Stegostoma tigrinum: one gene and its partner. The protein of the gene in region 2 binds, or shares a complex with, the protein of the main gene of each other region. Links are inferred from orthologs where the notes say so. Each region holds a gene or a part of one and is shown on either strand. Other genes may lie near its edges.

The links. The genes of interacting proteins can lie anywhere in the genome.
Region 1: histone acetyltransferase KAT6A-like (region 2) and brpf1 share a complex: the UniProt entries of both Homo sapiens proteins name them as parts of the MOZ/MORF complex. The link is inferred for Stegostoma tigrinum from reciprocal best matches to the Homo sapiens genes KAT6A and BRPF1.

Annotation. Positions count from the first base shown.
Region 1 is NC_081364.1:17,908,653-17,919,125, reverse strand, and holds the start of brpf1 (peregrin), read right to left. Parts: upstream 3,981-10,473; 5' UTR 3,605-3,980; intron 1-3,604. Other genes in the region: ccdc51 (mitochondrial potassium channel), read left to right, coding at 7,164-7,454. UniProt on the Homo sapiens protein: Scaffold subunit of various histone acetyltransferase (HAT) complexes, such as the MOZ/MORF and HBO1 complexes, which have a histone H3 acetyltransferase activity.
Region 2 is NC_081393.1:14,499,108-14,509,889, forward strand, and holds the start of histone acetyltransferase KAT6A-like, read left to right. Parts: upstream 1-6,876; 5' UTR 6,877-7,568; intron 7,569-10,782. Other genes in the region: deoxycytidine kinase 2-like, read right to left, coding at 6,373-6,676. UniProt on the Homo sapiens protein: Histone acetyltransferase that acetylates lysine residues in histone H3 and histone H4 (in vitro). Component of the MOZ/MORF complex which has a histone H3 acetyltransferase activity. May act as a transcriptional coactivator for RUNX1 and RUNX2.

The sequences.
Region 1 (10,473 bases), on a different chromosome or scaffold from region 2:
AATTAGACAAGTTAAATTAACATACACACAGCATTAAATCCACATCAATACTCCACATTTGTCTTGTACACCTGTTTATTGATCCTGTGTTCAGTTATGTTTGCGAGCACGAACTAAAAATTAGAGGTCATTGCTGACTTTTCTGACTACACCATCACTGCCATGAAACAAAACTAATCACCTCGGTCACTGAATATATAATTCAAGGAGAGTTCAAACTCATCACATACCAGACAAATGAAAGGGGAATTTGCAAGGATCCTTAACGTGACACAATTTTAAACACTACCAAGTCAGGGAAATGCTTTGGCATTTTTATCTTAAATTTTTAATTTAAATTTTTATGAAATATATTTATACCTTCCTTTGTGTACCCAGCTGCCCATCTTTAACATCTGAGCATGAGGTGCAAACTGCTCCTATGATTTCACAAATAACTCTTGAGTTGCCTATTAGGTTATAACTGGGGCGGTTTGTACTGTTCAGCTATCAAATCAGCCCGTCTCAGACCATTGCTAAGGTCCTTTGCATCAAGAAGTTATTTTCATAGTAATCCTTTGGCTTATTTGGAAGCAAAATGAATTGGAAGTGTTTGAATGTTCTGATAGCTGCTTCTGCCCTGGAGAAAAGCCAGAAGACAATTTTGTCCATTCCACAATTTGACTTCCTTGTAGAAAAGTACACGGGTTCAACTTAGAGCTTCCTGAACTAGTTATTGACAAATTGCCACATAAGAATTGCCACATGTTTAGGTGTTTTGCAAATGTTATCGGTCAAGTGAGTTGGTCTCCTTTAATACAGTCAAAAATATGACAGTTTGCATACCATTCCATTGCTGATTCAAATAGTAATTCATGGAATAACAGTATGGACACTTAACCCTGTCACAGCAAAAACATATTAATAATTATTCCAGAGATAGTAGGAACTGCAGATGCTGGAGAATCTGAGACAACAAAGTGTAGAGCTGGATGAACACAGCAGACCAAGCAGAAGAGCAGGACCCGGAACATCTGCTTTCCTGCTCCTCTGATGCTGCTTGGCCTGTTGTGTTCATCCAGCTCTACACCTTGATAAATATCCCAAGGTGTCTTGAAGGAGCATTATTAAATAAAATTTGACGTAAAGCCACATTATGCAATATCAGGTCAAGACAAAATCTTGGTCAGAGACAGGTTTTAAGGAGCATCTGAAAGAAGCAAAGAGCACTCCAGGGGTTTAGAAAGGAATTTCAGAGCTTCAAGCCCAGGCAGCTGATGGCACGGCTGCTAAAGGTAGAATGAATAAAAGTGGTCTGTCCAAAGGTTGGACTGGGAAAGCACAGAGATCTCAAAGGATTACAGAGATAACAGGAACTGCCGATGCTGGAGAATCTGAGATAACACAGTGTATAGCTGGATGAGCACAGCAGGCCAAGCAGCATCAGAGGAGCAGCAAAGCTGATGCTTCAGGTCGAGAACCTTCTTCAGATCTCAAAGGACTGTTGTGCTGGAGGAGGTTGACAGAGATGGCAAGAAGGAAGACCACAGAGAGATTGGAAAACAACGATTAGAATTTTAAATATTGCAAGGTGTTGGGAACCAGTGTTGGTCAATGAACATGCCGGTGATAGCAACTTTTGAGTTAGGAAATGGGCAGCTCAAATCCAGGCAAGCTCAAAAGTATAACATCCCCACATATGAATCTGACCAGGGAAGCAATGGAACAAATTTTGGAACATGGTAGTTGCACATTCTTAAAAAAGATGGATCTGACTGAAAAGTAAACCTTTCTCGATTTCATAGCATTAGCTACATGTATTGTTTAAATATGCTATGCCAGCCAGGACTGCTCTTGCAATTCTTATGATTCCAATTACACAACCATAGATATTGGATGCAGCACAAGCAGTTAAATCGCTTGCCTTGCAATTAAAGAAAGGGACATGTAGAACATTGATTAAACTATGCTTTTTAAATACAAGGACTGTATCTGGGAGAGCACAATCTCACTGCTCTATCTTTTCATTAGATGTCTTACTTTGCACAAAACACATCAGAATGGAATACCCTGAAACAACAAACACAAGAACACAACAAGCCAGGCATTTCCTGCTTGTCTTCTGGTTTTTCCCCAGAGCAGAAGCAGCTATCAGAAAACTCAAACACTTGCAATTCATTTTGCTTCCAAATAAGCCAAAAAAGTTACTATGGAAATAATCTTGATGCAAAGGCCCTTAGCTGTTGTCTGAGACAAGCTGTCTTGATAGCTGAACAGTACAAACAGCCACAGTCATTTGATAAGCTACTCCAGAGCAATACCATGGAAGATCAGCCAGAAATCAATATAAGACTTGAAAACTGAATGTATCTGTTTATGAAGCCAAGTGGAATTGTAAAAGCTACATGCTTTATTTAGCAATGACAGATGCAATTCCAAGTGATAACCAACTACACATTCAAAGTGCAGTGATCAAACAGGCACAAGTTATGTGCACAGCATTACGTTGACCGAGGCATGCCAGAATCAATGCTGTCTGCATAAAACAGACATGTATTCTGCAATACCACAAACATTTTCAAGTCCAATGTTGAGAACACAGCAGTGAGTGTCAAATGTTGGACAAACAGCATGATAACCTTTTGAAATATTTCAAATCAATGGGGTGATGATGATGTAGTGAAAATGTCACTGCACTAGTATTCCAGAATAATTTAGTCTAATGCTCTGGGGACAAATCTCACTATAGCAGCAGGTGGAATTTGAATTTAGTTAATGAATATGGAATATAAAACTGTCGTTGTTGTAAAACTCCATCTAATTCATTAACTTTTTTAAACAAAGAAAACTCTGCCAACCTAACCTGGTTGGCCTACATGTGAGTCCAGAACAACAGCAAAGTCGTGGCTCTTAACTGCTCTCTGAAATGCCTTGCTAGCCACTCAATTCAGTGATAACTAAGAATGGCAACAAGTGCTACGTTTGCCAGCAATGCTGACATTCCATGTAAGAATAAAGAAAAATAAAATTCCACATACAGAACACAGAAGTGTAATTTCATACATCATTCTGTTAGCACATTTGCAATGGTGCTTTAACTATCACACAGCAAAGAACAAATTTTACTACAGCCAAATGACAAATCAATACCAACAAGCATCTAACTCCAACTCAATCTGTTTCATTCATCATATATTCACAGAAGTGCCAGTTAATATTTAACTCCAACAATGACAGATCAGGGACAGAGCTCTTGGTTTAGCAGAACTCACACTGCACAGCACATGAGCACAACTAGCCTAATGGCGATAGCAGCATTGGCCTGCCAAATCAGCAAAAATACACAATAATTGTAAATGAAATATCCAGTTTTCAGCAACTATCTGCTGAAAAATGACAACAGCCATAGTGTCAGACACTTTCATGCTGCTGGCAACCTGAACAAAGCATCAGTTCTGCAAATAAAATGGCAAAATGTATTAAAATTAAAGTTGTTCTTTTGAGTTTCATTACATCTATCAGCATATTTTACAATAAATATTTATAACTGAGGAGGGGGAGTTGGACTGATTAAGCATTTAAGTACAGAGCAACTGAAAAAAGCATACATATTTAAGAATATTACCAAGTTAAGAGGATGGATCATTTCTGTTGTGCTCCTGTAGTGATGTCAGTGCAGAGGGATGATGGTGTGTGTGATTAGATGATAGGGGTTTGCGGTGTGCTGTTCCAGAGCAGGCCCATCACCACCAGGCAGTCAGTAAAGGAACCAGGCTGTGAGCTCCATAACAACAGCATCTCTCCCAGGGGCACCCCCCACCCCCATTCACACACAGAGGAAGCCAGGGTTCAGGAGGAGACTAAACACACAGCCAAACTCACACAGACATACAGCCCAGACCTGCCCCAACCTCTCCTGCCCTCTCTCTGTTACCAAATGGCTCTTTCCCCCTCAGTTTGAATGTTAACCCAGGGTTCCACTCACAAGATGGAACAAAGGCGCCTCCTCCACCAACAACTGACTTTGAATTCAATCAACAGCACATTCAACACAGTCTACACTGCATTCATATCCCGGAATAAAATACGCAAGGCGCAAATAGGAAAATCTGACTAGAAATATATGCATCGCGGTGATTTGTCCTGTTCGATTTATTATGGGCGTTCACAAGCAACTATATTTTCCAGCTGCCTGAATTGCGAGAATGAATGAAAGAGGCGAATCTGCTGGGAGCGATCGGGAGTGACAATCCGGAGAGTAAATGGAGTGATGTGTTTATCAGGCGCATATTCGAAAGAATTAATTCGGAAACAGACACTCAACGGCAGGGCAGCTCACTAGAAATAAAAGTACGAATAATACGATATAAACAGAAGGGGAGGCTGCCGTGTTTCTTTCTATTTGAAACGTTGGTCGCCGGCATGATTCAGACGAATCGGTGGACGCGGATGGTGGAGTAAGTGGAGGAGTTTACGGTGGGTGCGGGATCGGGGGGCGGGATTCCTGTAAATTAGTTAAAATATAATGCCTTCAGCTCGCTGTAATGTCTCTGGGCAGGAATCCAATATCGGGGCGGGGGCGGAGCGGCAATGGGCAGTAAAGGGGGGGGTTTCCACGGAAACCGGTTCCTCTCAGCGGAGGCGCAGTGATCACGGTGAAGGTTAAAGGTCAGAGCTGGGAGTGGGGAAAGTTTATGGAGCCAGAGGCGCTCAGCAGAAATGTGGCTATTGGCAAGAGGATCAGCACAAAAACTTCAACCCGGCCTTAGGAATCTGTGCTGTAATTACCACAGAAAAGAACCTTGTATATGTATGTAAAAAATAAGAACCTTGTCGCACGGAGGAGTAAGAGGTGAATTACTCCTAACCTGAAAGGCCAGTAATTTCTCTCGTGAGGAGGGGGGGTGGGGATGGGTTAGTTTGATGAAGCTGGAGAAAGTGACTGTTGTGTCCTTGGTGCAGCAGAGATATTACATTGTCACAGAATCACAACTCTGTGGAAGCAGAGATAATGGGAACTGCAGATGCTGGAGAATCCAAGATAATAAAATGTGAGGCTGGATGAACACAGCAGGCCCAGCAGCATCTCAGGAGCACAAAAGCTGACGTTTCGGGCCTAGACCCTTCATCAGAGGGTCTAGGCCCTAAACGTCAGCTTTTGTGCTCCTGAGATGCTGCTTGGCCTGCTGTGTTCATCCAGCCTCACATTTTATCATCTGTGGAAGCAGGCCATTCAGCCCATCACGTTCACACCACATTACACCTCATATCTCGACTCCCCCCGACCCCTGCAACCCTGTATTTTCCCATGCCTAATCCATCTAACGTTGACATCCCTGGACACCAAGAGTAATTTAGCATGGCTCATCCACCGAACCCGTTCATCTTTGGCCTGTGAAGAAACGATTGATATAAGAAATAGATGAAGGTGTAAATTCTATGCATAGAGGCATAGAAGATAGGATCAAGGGTAGTCTGTTTGATCTCTCCAAGTCTGCTCCACGTTAAGTATGATATGTGTTAAATATGGTATATAGTATTTGAATAAGTGCCACAAAGCAAGCATGAAACATTCCAGATAAGTGCAGGTCTTTTTGAGACTTGGGAGGCATCATTAATGTAAAATTGTCAAATACCTGGAAGATAGAAACTAAGACAATGGAGTGTGTACCATAAGAATTTATAAAATTGCCAATTTTAATCAAGAAAATATAATTAATGTAATCTGTAATCACAATGTTGAAGTACATAATTCTCATTAAAATAAGCCTTGCATATTTGTACTTCTTGGTGAAGTATTTGTTTTTTAGTAATATTATGTGATGTAATTAATTGTTGTAATTTAGTTTAGAATTGACTTTTATAAAAAATTCATCAACAATTACTGTAGTCATATACTGAATTTTTCACAAGCCCCCATCTAGAAAACAACATCCCTGAATTCTTAATTTACCATTTTAAATGTTTATAATGATAAGCTTAAAAAATAAGTTATTTCTGCTAATATATATCTGTATTTTATTCATTCAATGATTTTGCTCATTTGGAAACTCTGGTGATGTGGTTGTGGGAAGCATTTCATTACAGGACACAGTTTATAACTGGTAATCCTGACTCTGTATCCTTTAAAGATGTGAAATTTCTCTTAGTTGATGTTTTAAACTGACAATAATGTTGACCAGGTGGGTTTATCTTGCCAGGGAATAAAGATGGTAGACCATTAAAAGTACGTTGATAGAACAGGATTTGAATTATAACTGTCAATGAATGTTAGTGAGATTTGAAGGCACATTATTACTTTTTACGGTAAATTGTTAAACTGAGTGGAAAATTGATGTTGTTCCAACTTCTGGAACAACTCAGTTGCATTCTTTAGATTATGTCTTGAATGGATGAATTGGTATGTGTGGAATGCAGTGAGTAGGGAGAGCTGCAACATTGCACTGCCAGTTGGTGAAGGACTGTTTGCAACTTTAGTTCAACCCAAGATGAACATTCAACCATTTACCTTGAAAATTACTGTGATCACTATTTCAATCTCTGAAATTATTGCTCTAGTGAAATCATCTCATTCACACCTATATAGACATGACTGTTTCAACTTTCTCCTGGCTGCCCTTCCACATTCTACCCTCCTTGTACTGGAACAGGCAGCAGAACTGACTCTCGCCATATCTTATTTATCAATCACCTCTGCGTTTGCTGACTTATATTGGCTCCCAGCTAACAAACACTTAAATTTTAAAATGCTCATGCACTCCCCTCCCTATTTTTGTGATTTCCTTTAACCTTACATCCCTCCGATATCTGCACTGCTCCAAATTAGCTGGCTTCTTGACTATTCCTAATTGTAAGCATACTAATATGGATGACACTGTTTGTTTTTAGCTGCCTACACATTGGAATTCCTTCCCTAGACCCATCTTCCGCATTTTTTTCTCTCCTTTTTGTTTACCCCTTAACTAACGTCCCCACCCTAATATCTCCTTATGTCGCTTGCTATCATAATTTGTTTGATAATGTTTCTGTGAAGCACCTTGCCATTTTACTACGTTTAACATTCTATCTAAATGCTCGCCAGTATTAACATTGCTGCATGAGGTCTGTAAGTCACATTTGTCTCTGCATTCACAGGTTATTTGTAGCTCTGGCTGAATAATACCACTTTTGAAGTGAACCTGGAGATGAAGAGGCAGCTACTCAGTGTGATGTGCCCCCGTGCTTCTTGCTTCCATATTGCAAGAAGCAACAGTCTCCAAGTACGAGTTTACTGCTCACAGCCCACCCAGAAAACAGTTGCCAAGACTCTAAATGAAACTACCAATGCGACACAGCTGAAGTGGGTGGAACTGAGCAAAGATTTAAGCAAAAAAACTGTTGAGCACATTCGAATCACAACCAATTCCTTGTGGGAGAAATATGAGGAGTTTGTTGGACTGAAAGAGGTGCAAGTAGCACAGCTCAAGGTCACTGAGGTATTGTACTGATTTTATTTGCCATTCATGACTATATGCTAGTACTGTTATAGCCTGTGGTCTAGGTAGCATCATATGAGTAGACTGAAAAGCACCTAAAGAGATTAAACCTGTTCTCATCGTTTTATTCCTGGTCTGTGCTGAATTCATTGTTCTCCAGTAGAGGCACACTAAGCGGTCTTAACACCATTAAACAAGGGAGTTAAAAAGTCAGGGGCCCTGTGCGTCATCCAACATAAGACCATAAAAAATAGAAACAGAAGTTCGGCATTCACCCCCTCAAGCCTGCTCCACTGTTTGATAGGATCATTGCTGACCTAGCATTCCTCAGATCCATATTCCTGTCCTTTCCCTGTGACTCTTGATTTCGCAATGAGAAGAATAGAGTGACCCTTGTTGAAATATGTGTGCATGCACATACCAAATGAACATAAAGAGCTTACAAGCAGCGATTTTTTTATTGTTTCTTCACATGTACATGTTTCAAAAAAGCAATGCTGGTAATCTCAATTTACAGCTGAAAGCAATGGACACAATCATGAGGTCATGTAGCGTCTGGAAAGTAACAACATAAGTTAACCTTTCAGGTATAAAGCTTCATTGGAACTGAAACATTTTTCATCCTTGGATCCTGGTGTGTCAACTGATAAAATGGGACTCGATGATCTAAGTCAGAAGCATGCTTTGGTTGTTGCTTGATGTCAAAACCACTGTAAGCAAGAATCATTAATAATAATGCATCATTACCAAATAGTATCCGTCTGTTACCTTTGACAAAGTTTTTGGTCACCTGTGACTCAGTGGCATATTTTGTTTATTAATACTTCTCTGAGATGTTTTGCAGCATTTAAAAATGACATGTAAATGGTACATTCTTCTAGCACCCTTAAGTAAGACCTGATCAGGCGTACCCTAGAATTCTGTGGGAAGCTAGGGAAGTGATTGCTGTGTCCTTTGCTCGGATATTTGTATCATCGATAACCACAGGTGAGGTGCTGGAAGACTGGAGGCTGGCTAACCTGATGCCACTATTTAAGAAAGATGGTAAAGAAAAGCCAGGCAGCTATAGACTGGTGAGCCTGACATTGGTGGGCAAGTTGTTGGACGGAATCCTGAAGGACAGGCTTTACAAATATTTGGAAAGGCAAGGGCTGATTAGGGATTGTGTGTGGGAAATCATGTATCACTAACTTCAATAAGGCATGGTAGACTGATTTAGCTAGGTTAGGGAGAACCAGCTATTTAGATACAGAACTGGCTCGAAGGTAGAGACGGAGGGTGATGGTGGAGGGTTGCTTTTCGGATAGGAGGCCTGCGACCAGTGGTGTGCCACATGGTGCTGGGTCCACTCCTTTTGTTATTTACATAAATGGTTTGGATGGGAACATGGGAGGTATGGTTAGACAGTTGGCAGATGTCACTAAAATTGAAGGGGTAATGGACGGCGAGGAAGGTTACCTCAAGAATGCAATAGGATCTTGATCAGATGGGCCAATCGGCTGAGGAGTGGCAAATTGAGTATAATTTAGATAAATGTGAGGTACTGCATTTTGGAAAGTGGTATCAGGGCAGGACTTGTACACTTAATGGTTAGATCTTGGGTAGTGTTGCTGAACAAAGAGACGTTGGAGTGTAGGTTCACAGTTCCTTGAAAATGGAGTCACAAGTAGGTAAGATAGTGAAGGAGGCATTTGGCATGCTTGCCTTTACTGGTCAGTGCATTGAGGATAGGAGTTGGGAGGTCACGTTGTGGCTGCACAGGACATTAGTTATTCCACTGTTGGAATGCTGCGTACGATTCTGGTCCCTTGAAAGGGTTCAAAAAAGATTTACAAGGATGTTGCTAGGATTGGAAGATTTGATCTCTGGTAGAGACTGAATAGACTGGGACTATTTTCGCTGGAACATCTGAGGCCAGAGAGTGACCTTATAGAGGTTTGTAAAAGCATGAAGGACATGGATAGGGAAAATAGACAAGGTCTTTCCCCCAGGGTGGGGAATCCAAAATTAGAGGGCATAGGTTTAATTTGCGAGGATGAACATTTAAAAGGGATCTGAGGTGCAAGATTTTCACACAGAGCTTACCATTAAGTGTATGGAATGAGCTGCCAGAGGAAGTGGTAGAGGCTGGTACAACATTTAAAAGGCATCTGGACAGGTATGTGAATAGGAAGGGTTTAGAGTGGTATGGGCCAAATGCTGGCAAATGGGACTGGATTTATTTCGGCCACCCCACCAACCTCCGGGTACAATGCATCATCCTCCGACACTTCCGCCATCTACAATCTGACCCCACCACCCAAGACATTTTTCCATCCCCACTTGTCTGCTTTCCGGAGAGACCACTCTCTCCGTGACTCCCATGTTCGCTCCACACTGCCCTCCAACCACACCACACCCGGCACCTTCCCCTGCAACCGCAGGAAATGCTACACTTGCCCCCACACCTCCTCCCTCACCCCTATCCCAGGCCCCAAGATGACTTTCCATATTAGGCAGATGTTCACCTGCACATCTGCCAATGTGGTATACTGCATCCGTTGTACCCGGTGTGGCTTCCTGTACATTGGGGAAACCAAGCGGAGGCTTGGGGACCGCTTTGCAGAACACCTCCACTCGGTTCGCAATAAACAACTGCACCTCCAGGTCGTGAACCATTTCCACTCCCCCTCCCATTCTTTAGATGACATGTCCATCATGGGCCTCCTGCAGTGCCACAATGATGCCACCTGAAGGTTGCAGGAACAACAACTCATATTCCGCCTGGGAACCCTGCAGCCCAATGGTATCAATGTGGACTTCACTAGCTTCAAAATCTCCCCATCCCTCACCGCATCCCAAAACCCGCCCAGTTCGTCCCCTCCCCCCACTGCATCACACAACCAGCCCAGCTCTTCCCCTCCCCCAACTGCATCCCAAAACCAGCCCAGCCTGTCTCTGCCTCCCTTACCTGTTCTTCCTCTCACCCATCCCTTCCTCCCACCCCAAGCCGCACCTCCATTTCCTACCTACTAACCTC
Region 2 (10,782 bases):
CTCCAACATCATCCATGACCTCATCACCTCAGGGGACCTCCCACCCACAGACTCCAACCTCATTGTTCCCCAACCCCGCACGGCCCATTTCTATCTCGTTCCCAAAATCCACAAACCTGCCTGCCCTGGTCGACCCATTGTCTCAGCCTGTTCCTGCCCCACCGAACTCATCTCCACCTATCTGGACTCCATTTTCTCCCCTTTGGTCCAGGAACTCCCCACCTACGTCCGTGACACCACCCACACCCTCCACCTCCTCCAGGACTTCCAATTCCCCGGCCCCCAACACGTCATTTTCACCATGGACGTCCAGTCCCTATACACCTGTATTCCTCATGCAGATGGCCTCAAGGCCCTCCGCTTCTTCCTGTCCCACAGGCCCGACCAATACCCCTCCACTGACACCCTCATCCACCTAGCTGAACTCGTCCTCAGCCTCAATAACTTCTCTTTCGATTCCTCCCACTTCCTACAGTCAAAGGGGGTGGCCATGGGTACCCGCATGGGCCCAAGCTATGCCTGCCTCTTTGTAGGTTACGTGGAACAGTCCCTCTTCCGCACCTGCACAGGCCCCAAACCACACCTCTTCCTCCGTTACATTGATGACTGTATCGGCGCCACTTCTTGCCCCCCAGAGGAGCTCGAACAGTCCATCCACTTTACCAACACCTTCCATCCCAACCTCAAGTTCACCTGGGCCATCTCCAACACCTTCCTGGACCTCTCAGTCTCCATCTCAGGTAACGAGCTATAAACTGATGTCCATTTCACGCCCACCCACTCCCACAACTACCTAGAATACACCTCCTCCCACCCACCCTCCTGCAAAAATTCCATCCCCTATTCCCAATTCCTCCGCCTCCGCCACATCTGCTCCCAGGATGAGGCATTCCACTCCCGCACATCCCAGGTGTCCAAGTTCTTCCAGGACCGCAACTTTTCCCCCGCAGTGGTCGAGAACGCCCTTGACCGTGTCTCCCGCAACACATCCTTCACACCCCGCCACAACCGCCCCCAGAGGATCCCCCTCGTCCTCACATACCACCCCACCAACCTCCGGATACAACATATCATCCTCCGAGACTTCCACCATCTACAATCCGACCCCACCACCCAAGCCATTTTTCCATCCCCACCCTTATCTGCCTTCCAGAGAGACCACTCTCTCCGTGACTCCCTTGTCCGCTCAACACTCCCCTCCAACCCCACCACACCCAGCACCTTCCCCTGCAACCGCAGGAAGTGCTACACTTGCCCCCACACCACCTCCCTCACCCCTATCCCAGGCCCCAAGATGACCTTCCATATCAAACAGATGTTCACCTGCACATCTGCCAATGTGGTATACTGTATCCATTGTACCTGGTGTGGCTTCCTCTACATTGGGGAAACCAAGCGGAGGCTTGAGGACCGCTTTGCAGAACACCTCTGCTCGACTTGCAATAAACAACTGCACCTCCCAGTCGCAAACCATTTCAACTCCCCCTCCCATTCCTCAGACGACATGTCCATCATGGGCCTCCTGCAGTGCCACAATGATGCCACCTGAAGGTCGCAGGAACAGCAACTCATATTCCGCCTGGGAACCCTGTAGCCCAATGGTATCAACGTGGACTTCACAGCTTCAAAATCTCCCCTTCCCCCACCGCATCCCAAAACCAGCCCAGTTCTTCCCCTCCCCGCACTGCATCACAAGACCAGCCCAGCCTTTCCCACCCCCCCCACGACTGCATCCCAAAACCAGTCCAGCCTGTCTCTGCTTCCCTAACTTGTTCTTCTTCTCACCCATCCCTTCCTCCCACCTCAAGCCGCACCTCCATTTCCCACCTACCACCTCATCCCGCCTCCTTGACCTGTCCATCTTCGCTGGACTGACCTATCCCCTCCCTACCTCCCCACGTATACTCTCCTCTCCACCTATCTTCTCCTGTATCCATCTTCGGTCCGCCTCCCCATCTCTCCCTATTTATTCCGGTTTCCTTTCCCCATCCCCCTCTCTGATGAAGGGTCTAGGCCCGAAACGTCAGCTTTTGTGCTCCTGAGATGCTGCTTGGCCTGCTGTGTTCATCCAGCTTCACACTTTATTATGTTAGAATCTTGTAAAATGCATTCTAGAAGACCACGCTTGTGGCTTTCAGATGGTAGTGAGGAAAGATTACACGTGTCTCTGGATGAAACTTGAAGGCACTGTCAGCACCACTCAACCAAATGACTATTATGGGTTATTGTTATTCTCTTGCTTTTTCATCATAATTGTGCACATGTAATCATCGTCTGCCTCTTGAAGATTTTGTTTCAACCTGCCTCCACTACAGTACCAGGTAGTGCATTCCAAACCCAAACTACACACTATATGAAATAACAAGGTGTAGAGCTGGATGAACACAGCAGGCCAAGCAGCAGGAAAGCTGACCCTTCTTCAGACCACTCATGATTTTGAGAACCTCTGTCAAATCTTGTATCTTTTTGTTCTGAAAGGAAAGCAAACCCAACACAATTTCACTACTCTCTCATAGCTGAAGTTTGTCTTCCCTGGAACCATTCATGTTAACTTCTTACTGTTCACATTTTTCTAAAAATATACATGGTACATTAACACTTCAAGTGAATTTTAAATGGTGTATTACAAAATTTCAGCATAACTTCGTTGGTCTTGAGCTCTGTGGCCCTATTAAAAAAAAGTCAGGATCTATGTTTCGTTACGTGTTTGTATTTCGGAAAGTTAAGAGCCGGCATCTACTGAGCAGTGAAACTATTTAAGATAACAAAACGTGTGGGGCTGGAAGAACACTACAGGCCAAGCAGCATCTTAGGAGCACCAAAGCAGATGTTTCGGGCCTAGACCCTTCATCAGAAAAGGGGGATGGGGAGAGGATTCTGAAATAAATAGGGAGACAGGGAGAGGCGGACCAAAGATGGATAGAGAAGATAGGTGGATAGCTGAGTGTGGGTGGGGAGGTATGGAGGAGATAGGTCAGGTCAAGGGGGCGGGATGAGGTTAGTAGGTCAGAAATGGAGGTGCAGCTTGAGGTGGGAGGAAGAACAGGTTAGGGAAGCGGGGACGAGCTGGGCTGGTTTTGGGATGCAGTGGGGGAAGGGGAGATTTTGAAGCTGGTGAAATCCACATTGATACCATTGGGCTGCAGGGTTCCCAAGCGGAATATGAGTTGCTGTTCCTTCAGCCTTCAGGTGGTATCATTAGAGCACTGCAGGAGGCCCAGGATGGACATATCGTCTAAGGAATGGGAGGGGGGAGTTGAAATGGTTTGCGACTGGGAGGTGCAGTTGTTTACTGTGAACCGAGTGTAGGTGCTCTGCAAAGCGCTCCCCAAGCCTCCGCTTGGTTTCCCCAATGCAGAGGAAGCCACACCGTGTACAGCGGACGCAGTATACCACATTGGCGGGTGTGCAGGTGAACATCTGCTTGATGTGGAAAGTCATCTTGAAGCCTGGGATGGGGGTGAGGGAGGCAGTGTGGGGGCAGCTGTAGCACTTCCTGCGGTTGCAGGGGAAAGTGCCAGGTGTGGTGGGGTTGGAGGGGAGTGTGGACCGGACAAGGGAGTCGCGGAGAGAGTGGTCTCCCTGGAAGGCAGACAAGGATGGGTGGAGAAAAATGTCTTTAGTGGTGGGGTCAGATTGTAGATGGCGGCAGTGTCGGAGGATGATGTGCTGTATCCGAAGGTTGGTAGGGTGGTATGTGAAGGCTGGGTGTGAGGGACGAGGTGCGGGAAATGCAGGAGACATGGTTGAGGACGTTCTCGTGCACTGTGGCGGTGATGTTGCGGCCATTGAAGAACGAGGACATCTGTGATGTGCGGGAGTGGAATGCCTCATCCTGGGAGCAGATGCAGCAGAGGTGAAGGAATTGGGAATATGGGATGGAATTTTTGCAGGAAAGTGGGAGGGAGGAGGTGTATTCTAGGTAGCTATGGGAGTCAGTGGGTTTGAAATGGACATCGGTTTATAGCTGGTTGCCCGAGATGGAGACAGAAAGGTCCAGGTGAGGGATGTGTTGGAGATGGTCCAGGTGAACTTGAGGTTGGGGTGGAAGGTGTTGGTGAAATGGATGAACTGTTCGAGCTCCTCTTGGGAGCAAGAGGTCGCGCCGATACAGTCAATGTAACGGAGGAAGAGGTGCGAATGAGGGACTGTTCCACATAACCTACAAAGAGGCAGGCATAGCTGGGGTCCGTGTGGGTACCCATGGCCACCCGCTTTGTCTGTAGGAAGTGGGAGGAATCGAAAGAGAAGTTGTTGAGGATGAGGACGAGTTTGGCTAGGCGGATGACGGTGTCGGTGGAGGGGGGCTGGTCGGGCCTGCGGGACACGAAGAAGCAGAGGGCCTGAAGGCCATCTGCATGGAGAATGCAGGTGTATAGGGACTGGACATCCGTGGTGATGAAAATGACGTGTTGGGGACCAGGGAATTGGAAGTTCTGGAGGAGGTGAAGAGCGTGGGTGGTGTCACAGACGTAGGTGGGGAGTTCCTGGATCAAGGGGGAGAAAATGGAGTCCAGATAGGTGGAGATGAGTTCGGTGGGGCAGCAGCAGGCGGAGACAATAGGTCGACCAGGGCAGGCGGATTTGTGGATTTTGGGAAGGAAAACTCCCACTTCCTACAGACTAAGGGGCTAACTGAGGAGACATTCCACTCCCGCACATCCCAGATGTCCTCGTTCTTCAAGGGCTGCAACATCACCCCCGCAGTGCTCGAGAGTGTCCTCGACCGTGTCTCCGACATTTACCACACCTCATCCCTCACACCCCACCCTCGCAATAATCACCAAAAGAGAATCCCCCTAGTCCTCACATACCACCCTACCAACCTCTGGATACAACGCATCATCCTCCGACGCTTCCGCCATCTACAATCCAACCCCACCACTAAAGACATTTTTCCCACCCCACCCCAACTTTGTCTGCCTTCCGGAGAGACCACTCTCTCCATGACTCCCTTGTCTGCTCCACGCTCACCTCCAAACCCACCACACCCGACACTTTCCCCTGCAACCGCAGGAAGTGCTACACCTGCTCCAACACCGCCTCCCTCACCCACATCCCAGGACCCAAGATGACATTCCACATCAAGCAGATGTCCACCTGCACATCCGCTAATGTGGTATATTGCATCTGCTGTACATGGTGTGGCTTCCTCTGCATTGGGGAAACCAAACGGAGGCTTGGGGAGTGCTTTGCAGAACACCTCTGCTCAGTTCGCAGTAAACAACTGCACCTCCCAGTCACAAACTATTTCAACTCCTCCTCCCATTCCTCAGACGACATGTCCATCATGGGCCTCCTGCAGTGCCATAATGGTACCAGCCCTAGGTTGCAGGGACAGCAACTCATATTCCACTTGGGAACCCTGCAGCCCAATGGTATCAATGTAGATTTCACCAGCTTCAAAATCTCCCCTCCCCCCACTGCATCCCAAAACCAGCCCAGCTTGTCCCTGCCTCCCTAACCTGTTCTTGCTCTCACCGATCCCCTCCTCCCACCTCAAGCCGCACCTCCATTTCCTACCTACTAACCTCATCCCGCCCCCTTGACCTCTCCATCCTCGCTGGACTGACCTATCCCCTCCCTACCTCTACTCTCCTCTCCACCCATCATCGGTCCTCCTCCCCCTCTCTCCCTATTTATTCCAGTTCCCTCTCTGATGAAGGGTCTAGGCCCGAAACGTCAGCTTTTGTGCTCCTGAGATGCTGCTTGGCCTGCTGTGTTCCTCCAGCTCCACACTTTGTTACCTCGGATTCTCTAGCATCTGCAGTTCTCATTATCTTTGAGCGAAACTATTTAACCTTCGTAACAATCATGTCAACAAGCAGCTTTAAAATGTATCATTGTACAGAGTAGTTTTACAGTTTATTTTTCATTAGAATTCTAAAATCTGCATTTGTTTTAAATCGAGAAACTAAGGTGAACCGTAAAGAACTAAAGTCGCAGCAAAAAACAAAAAAGAAAGCAACACCTCACAGGACGAAATGCATGATACCATTTGCTTTTTCGAAGCCGAGAATTCTACAAGCGTCTGAGAAATTTAGTAAATTCCCATTGGTATACAAATTTGGCGTTGAGAAAGATACGGTGGAAGAAAACGGTGCCATGTGTATCGGCTTTAACACGATGGGCACAAGGAAACGAGCGGACTACGCACTTCAAAATATGTCTCGCACAATCCCCAAGATTTTCACATTTATCCGCTTAATTCGCACCGTTTCCTATTGTTCAAAATAGGCACCTTTTTAAATGATCATTCCATTCCTTTTCAAATAAAAACACTTGTATTATTCTCTTTAAACTAGTGCGATTAACCTATAATTCACGTGATAGTCAATTTTATATTTCTGAATTTTCCTTACGAAGCCCTACCAATGTTGCCCTCCACTGAAATCCTGGTCACTGCCCGACTTTTACTGTGAAGTTCAACAGCCACAGTTCTGGAGCAAACGCGTTTCCGAGCAGCTTCTGTTCCCATCATCAGCTCAACCTGATCGCGCCGCTTCCAGGGAGAGTTCACGGTGAAAGCCAACCTCCGTCCCCGGGTTTGTAAAACCTTCTCTGGGTCAGGAAATAAACTCGGCAAGCAGCGATCAAACCCGTCTCTGTGTAGCATTCGGCATTGCGGAAAATTCACGCGTGTCAGTCCCGTTAGAGATCTGAAGTGCAGAGGCATTTTAACTGCGCTCTGACAAGTGTTGCTGCACACATAATGCTGCAGATCATGTTCTCGTCCACGATCGCTAGCTGCGTGAACGACTCCGCCAAAGCACAGAGCTGTTCGATCACTTCGCTTCCTCTATGCTGGAAACGACCTCTTCACATAGGTGAAGCAGTTCCGGGTTAATGCAAATGATAATGTTATTTTACAGCCTCCGTCTTCAATTAACAGGTTGGATTTACATCTGAAGAGGATTTAAAATGGTTGACTGCGTCAACGCGCGCGAAAAAGCTAATTAAATATATAATTTTGAGTCAACAAGTTCTGTGAAAGTGCACGATCCCTTGACAGCTATCTTATTCTACGCCACCTTGGATCATTTGGTACAACCCCCTTTATGCCACCTTTAAGCGATTTCCAGGACTGCCCTTAGCCACAAACTTTTGCTTTTCAATCTCATCCGACAAAATGGCTTGAGATGTTGCAGCAAAGTTATGTTGAAGCAAAGTGTGACAATTAAGTGTATTGACATCCACTAACGTGGGTGAATTATTGCACTTAATCATTTAATATAACAATCATTGGAGAAATATCTCGTATGTTGAACACCACAGCAAGTACAGGTTCTTTACAGACTCGGGTGGAGAAGTTAAAGTCAAGAACTGCCTTCATTGAGGTTGTTGACCTGCTCTCCGAGCTAGCTTTCTTTCGTTCAGACGTTTTGGCACCAGGCGAGGCCTCTGCTGAAGCAATGTTATTCTACTCTGCTTGGAATTGGTCAGCTTTTGTGCTCCTGAGATGCTGCTTGGCCTGCTGTGTTCATCCAGCTTCACGCTTTATTATCTTGGATTCTCCAGCATCTGCAGTTCCCGTTATCTCTGGAATTTATACTGCCTGGTTCACGATGGTGAGTAGTGCCATTTCCGCTTTTGATTTGTATGAGTTTGTACATAGGATCCAATTGTATATGTTTGTTGATAGCATTACAGGTTGAGAACCTTCCTATAGTAATTCCTATGTGTGTCTAATGTTTGGCTTGGGCGACTATGGTTACATTCCCAGTTAAACTGATGGCCTTCATTGTCTGAATGTATTGAAATTAAGAAAAGTTTGTAGTGTCATTTTGCTGCTAGCTGATGTTCGTGTATTCTGATGGCTAGTTTCCTTCCTGTCTGTCCGATGTAATGTTTGACAGTTGTTGCATGGTATTTTGTAAACCATATTGGTTCTGCATGTTGTAGGAGTGGGGTCTTTAATCCTTGAGTGTTTGTCAGAGAGTGGCTGTAGGCTTGTGGGCTACAAACAGACACGCACAGGAAACACAGAATTAGACCTCATATACAAACCCATACAGATCAAATCCTGAAAATGACACTACTCACCATAACGGACCGGATGGTATAAATTGCAAGTGGAGTAGACCAATGTCGTTTCATCGGAGGCCTCATGGATGAGGTTACCTCGCATGGTGACAGAACGCCTGAACAAAAACAAGGGTATGTTTGGCTGGGGGACTTGAGGCTGTTTTCATTAGAGAGAAGGTGGTTGAGAGGTGACTTAATTGAAACATAAAATAATCAGAGGGTTATATAGGGTGGATAGGAGGAGCCTTTTTCCTAGGATGGTGACAGCGAGCACGAGGGGGCATAGCTTTAAATTGAGGGGTGAAAGATATAGGACAGATGTCAGAGGTAGTTTCTTTACTCAGAGTAGTAAGGGAATGGAACGCTTTGCCTGTAAACGGTAGTAGATTCACCAACTTTAGGTACATTTAAGTTGTCATTGGATAAGCACATGGACATACATGGAATAGTGTAGGTTAGATGGGCTTGAGATCGGTATGACAGGTTGGCACAACATCGAGGGCCGAAGGGCTTGTACTGTGCTGTAATGTTCTAAGTTCTATGCCAGCTCAGCAAGCAAGTCAACAACCTCAGCCACAACCTGAGCTACAAATCTTTGCTAACATTTCAAACTGTCTTCAGGTTTCATCTGGTCTTCAAAGTAACATTATTTATTGAATATTAATACTAAATCCTGCTGTAGATGATAATCATTCACTTATCAGGCTCTGACTTATCGAAATGTTAGGTAAGGACTAACCTAACTTCATGTGTTCTCAAATTGTCTTCCAACAAGGAGAGAGTTCTCATGTAACCATAAATAGTGGTTTTTCCTCCAGCGTTCTGATCCAACCACACTCTTGGTATTAAAACTTAGTGAGCTGCAGCTGTGTGATATCACCACAAAGTTGCTACTGTGTTCCAATCCCTAATACAAATTCAAGTATATGACAATTCACAGGGATGGTTAAGCAGGAGAGAGAGACACACTGACCATAGCTCTCCACTTGCTGTCCTGGCCAAAAAAGGTGTATACTAACCGAAGGTCCGAGTTTAATATTCGTTCAAGAAATCCTCATTAGTTCTTAACTGGTTAACTGCATGTGCCTTGAATTTCTTAGTCACTCATTATTCAAATAACAGGCTCAGGCAGTGGCATTATTTGCTTTTCATTGAAAATGGACATTTCTGATGGCCCAGAGAAAGGTGGGGCTCAACCAATTCTTGAATGGCTGGATTCCATGTGGTGAAGTTGCATTATTTACCCAATGGCTATGACTTGGACTAAGCTGTGACAGTAATACCGGACAAGTCAGATCCCAGCGTGACATATGGTTCATTCGTCTCATTTTTCAATTTGTTTACCATAGTGGGCAGTCACTGAGTACGTTAGAGGTTGCGATGTACTTTTTGCAAAAATTTCAAACACAAAAATGGGAAATCCAAGCCATTTTACACAAGTGTAAGAACTGTTTGAATGGATTTTATGACAAATAAAACGTCAACCTTCCAGCTTCTCTGATGCTGCATGCGCCGCCTGGTCCACGCTGTGTTATCTCTGACTCCAGCATCGGCAGTTCTTACTATCTATAAATAAAAATGCAGATGTTTTACCCTGAACACTGCCTTACAGCTACTCACACTTCAATGAAATGTCACCTAGCTTCTATAGTTTCTTTTTCAGTTGACATGGGTGTGCTTGTTCTTTTGTTTCTGCATCACTTGATGTTGTTGAAATAACTACAGAGACCAGTATCCTATCACCAGGTCACCCATTGTTTACATCTGGAGAAACCTTGACACAGTCAGCTCTATCAGGGCTGTCTGGCATACCTCTTACCTGTCAGCCATAGCTCTCTGACTGGACAAGTTTAACAGCCCCTCATATTCTATAATCAGCCATGTGGACATAATTGTTTCAATGACTGAAGTTGTCAGTTTTAATTAATGTCTGTCCACAAGACCCTGAAACTGATCATACTGATCACTTACTCCTAAACATGTATTCTATAAACACATTTAACAATCTTGCAGATAATGCATGCCTTTTGAAATTATTCCCTAAACAGATTCTACTCTTAATCTTTCACACTGATGTCACTTTTAATTAAGAGGCCTGATCATCACCTTTTCCAAGCATCTTACCGTGTTGAAATATCAAGTACCTTGTGTATTTGATACCTTGCAGTCAATTCTTTTTAATGTTTGTCATAGCGTATATTTATGTTGCATCAAACTGACAATTCATGCCTTCCTGCTGCACTCTGCTTGTTAACCATGTTGCAAACCTTGACGACTGTCTTATCCTTTCCTTATAAATTTATCACTTCTCCCTTTGCTTGACCTCAAACTCCCCACACTTCTAAAACCTCTCTACTGCCCAAGTTATACAACTCAGTGCAACACTTAAAAGTCCACTGAGACAGGTGAAGACCATACCGAAGGTATGACTTCCATTTTCTGCAGTAACACTGCCAGTGGCGCATGAATTGAAAAATATTTCTCTCACACCAAGCTTTGAACCACACATTTAATTCTCTGATCAGATTTACCCTTCACCAATTTAAGATGGAATGTAACAAATTAACCACAAGGAGGACCAAAAGCATTTTGTTTCTGATGTCGGTCTAAGTTTCCACAGGCAAAGCAAATATAAAAGGTTTGTGTTAACAAAGTGACATCTTTTGGCTGATTGTTGGCTGTTGGGATTTCTTCACAGGACTAACACTTTCAAAAGATCTACATTATGTCCATGCAAGAACAACACAAAAATGTTAG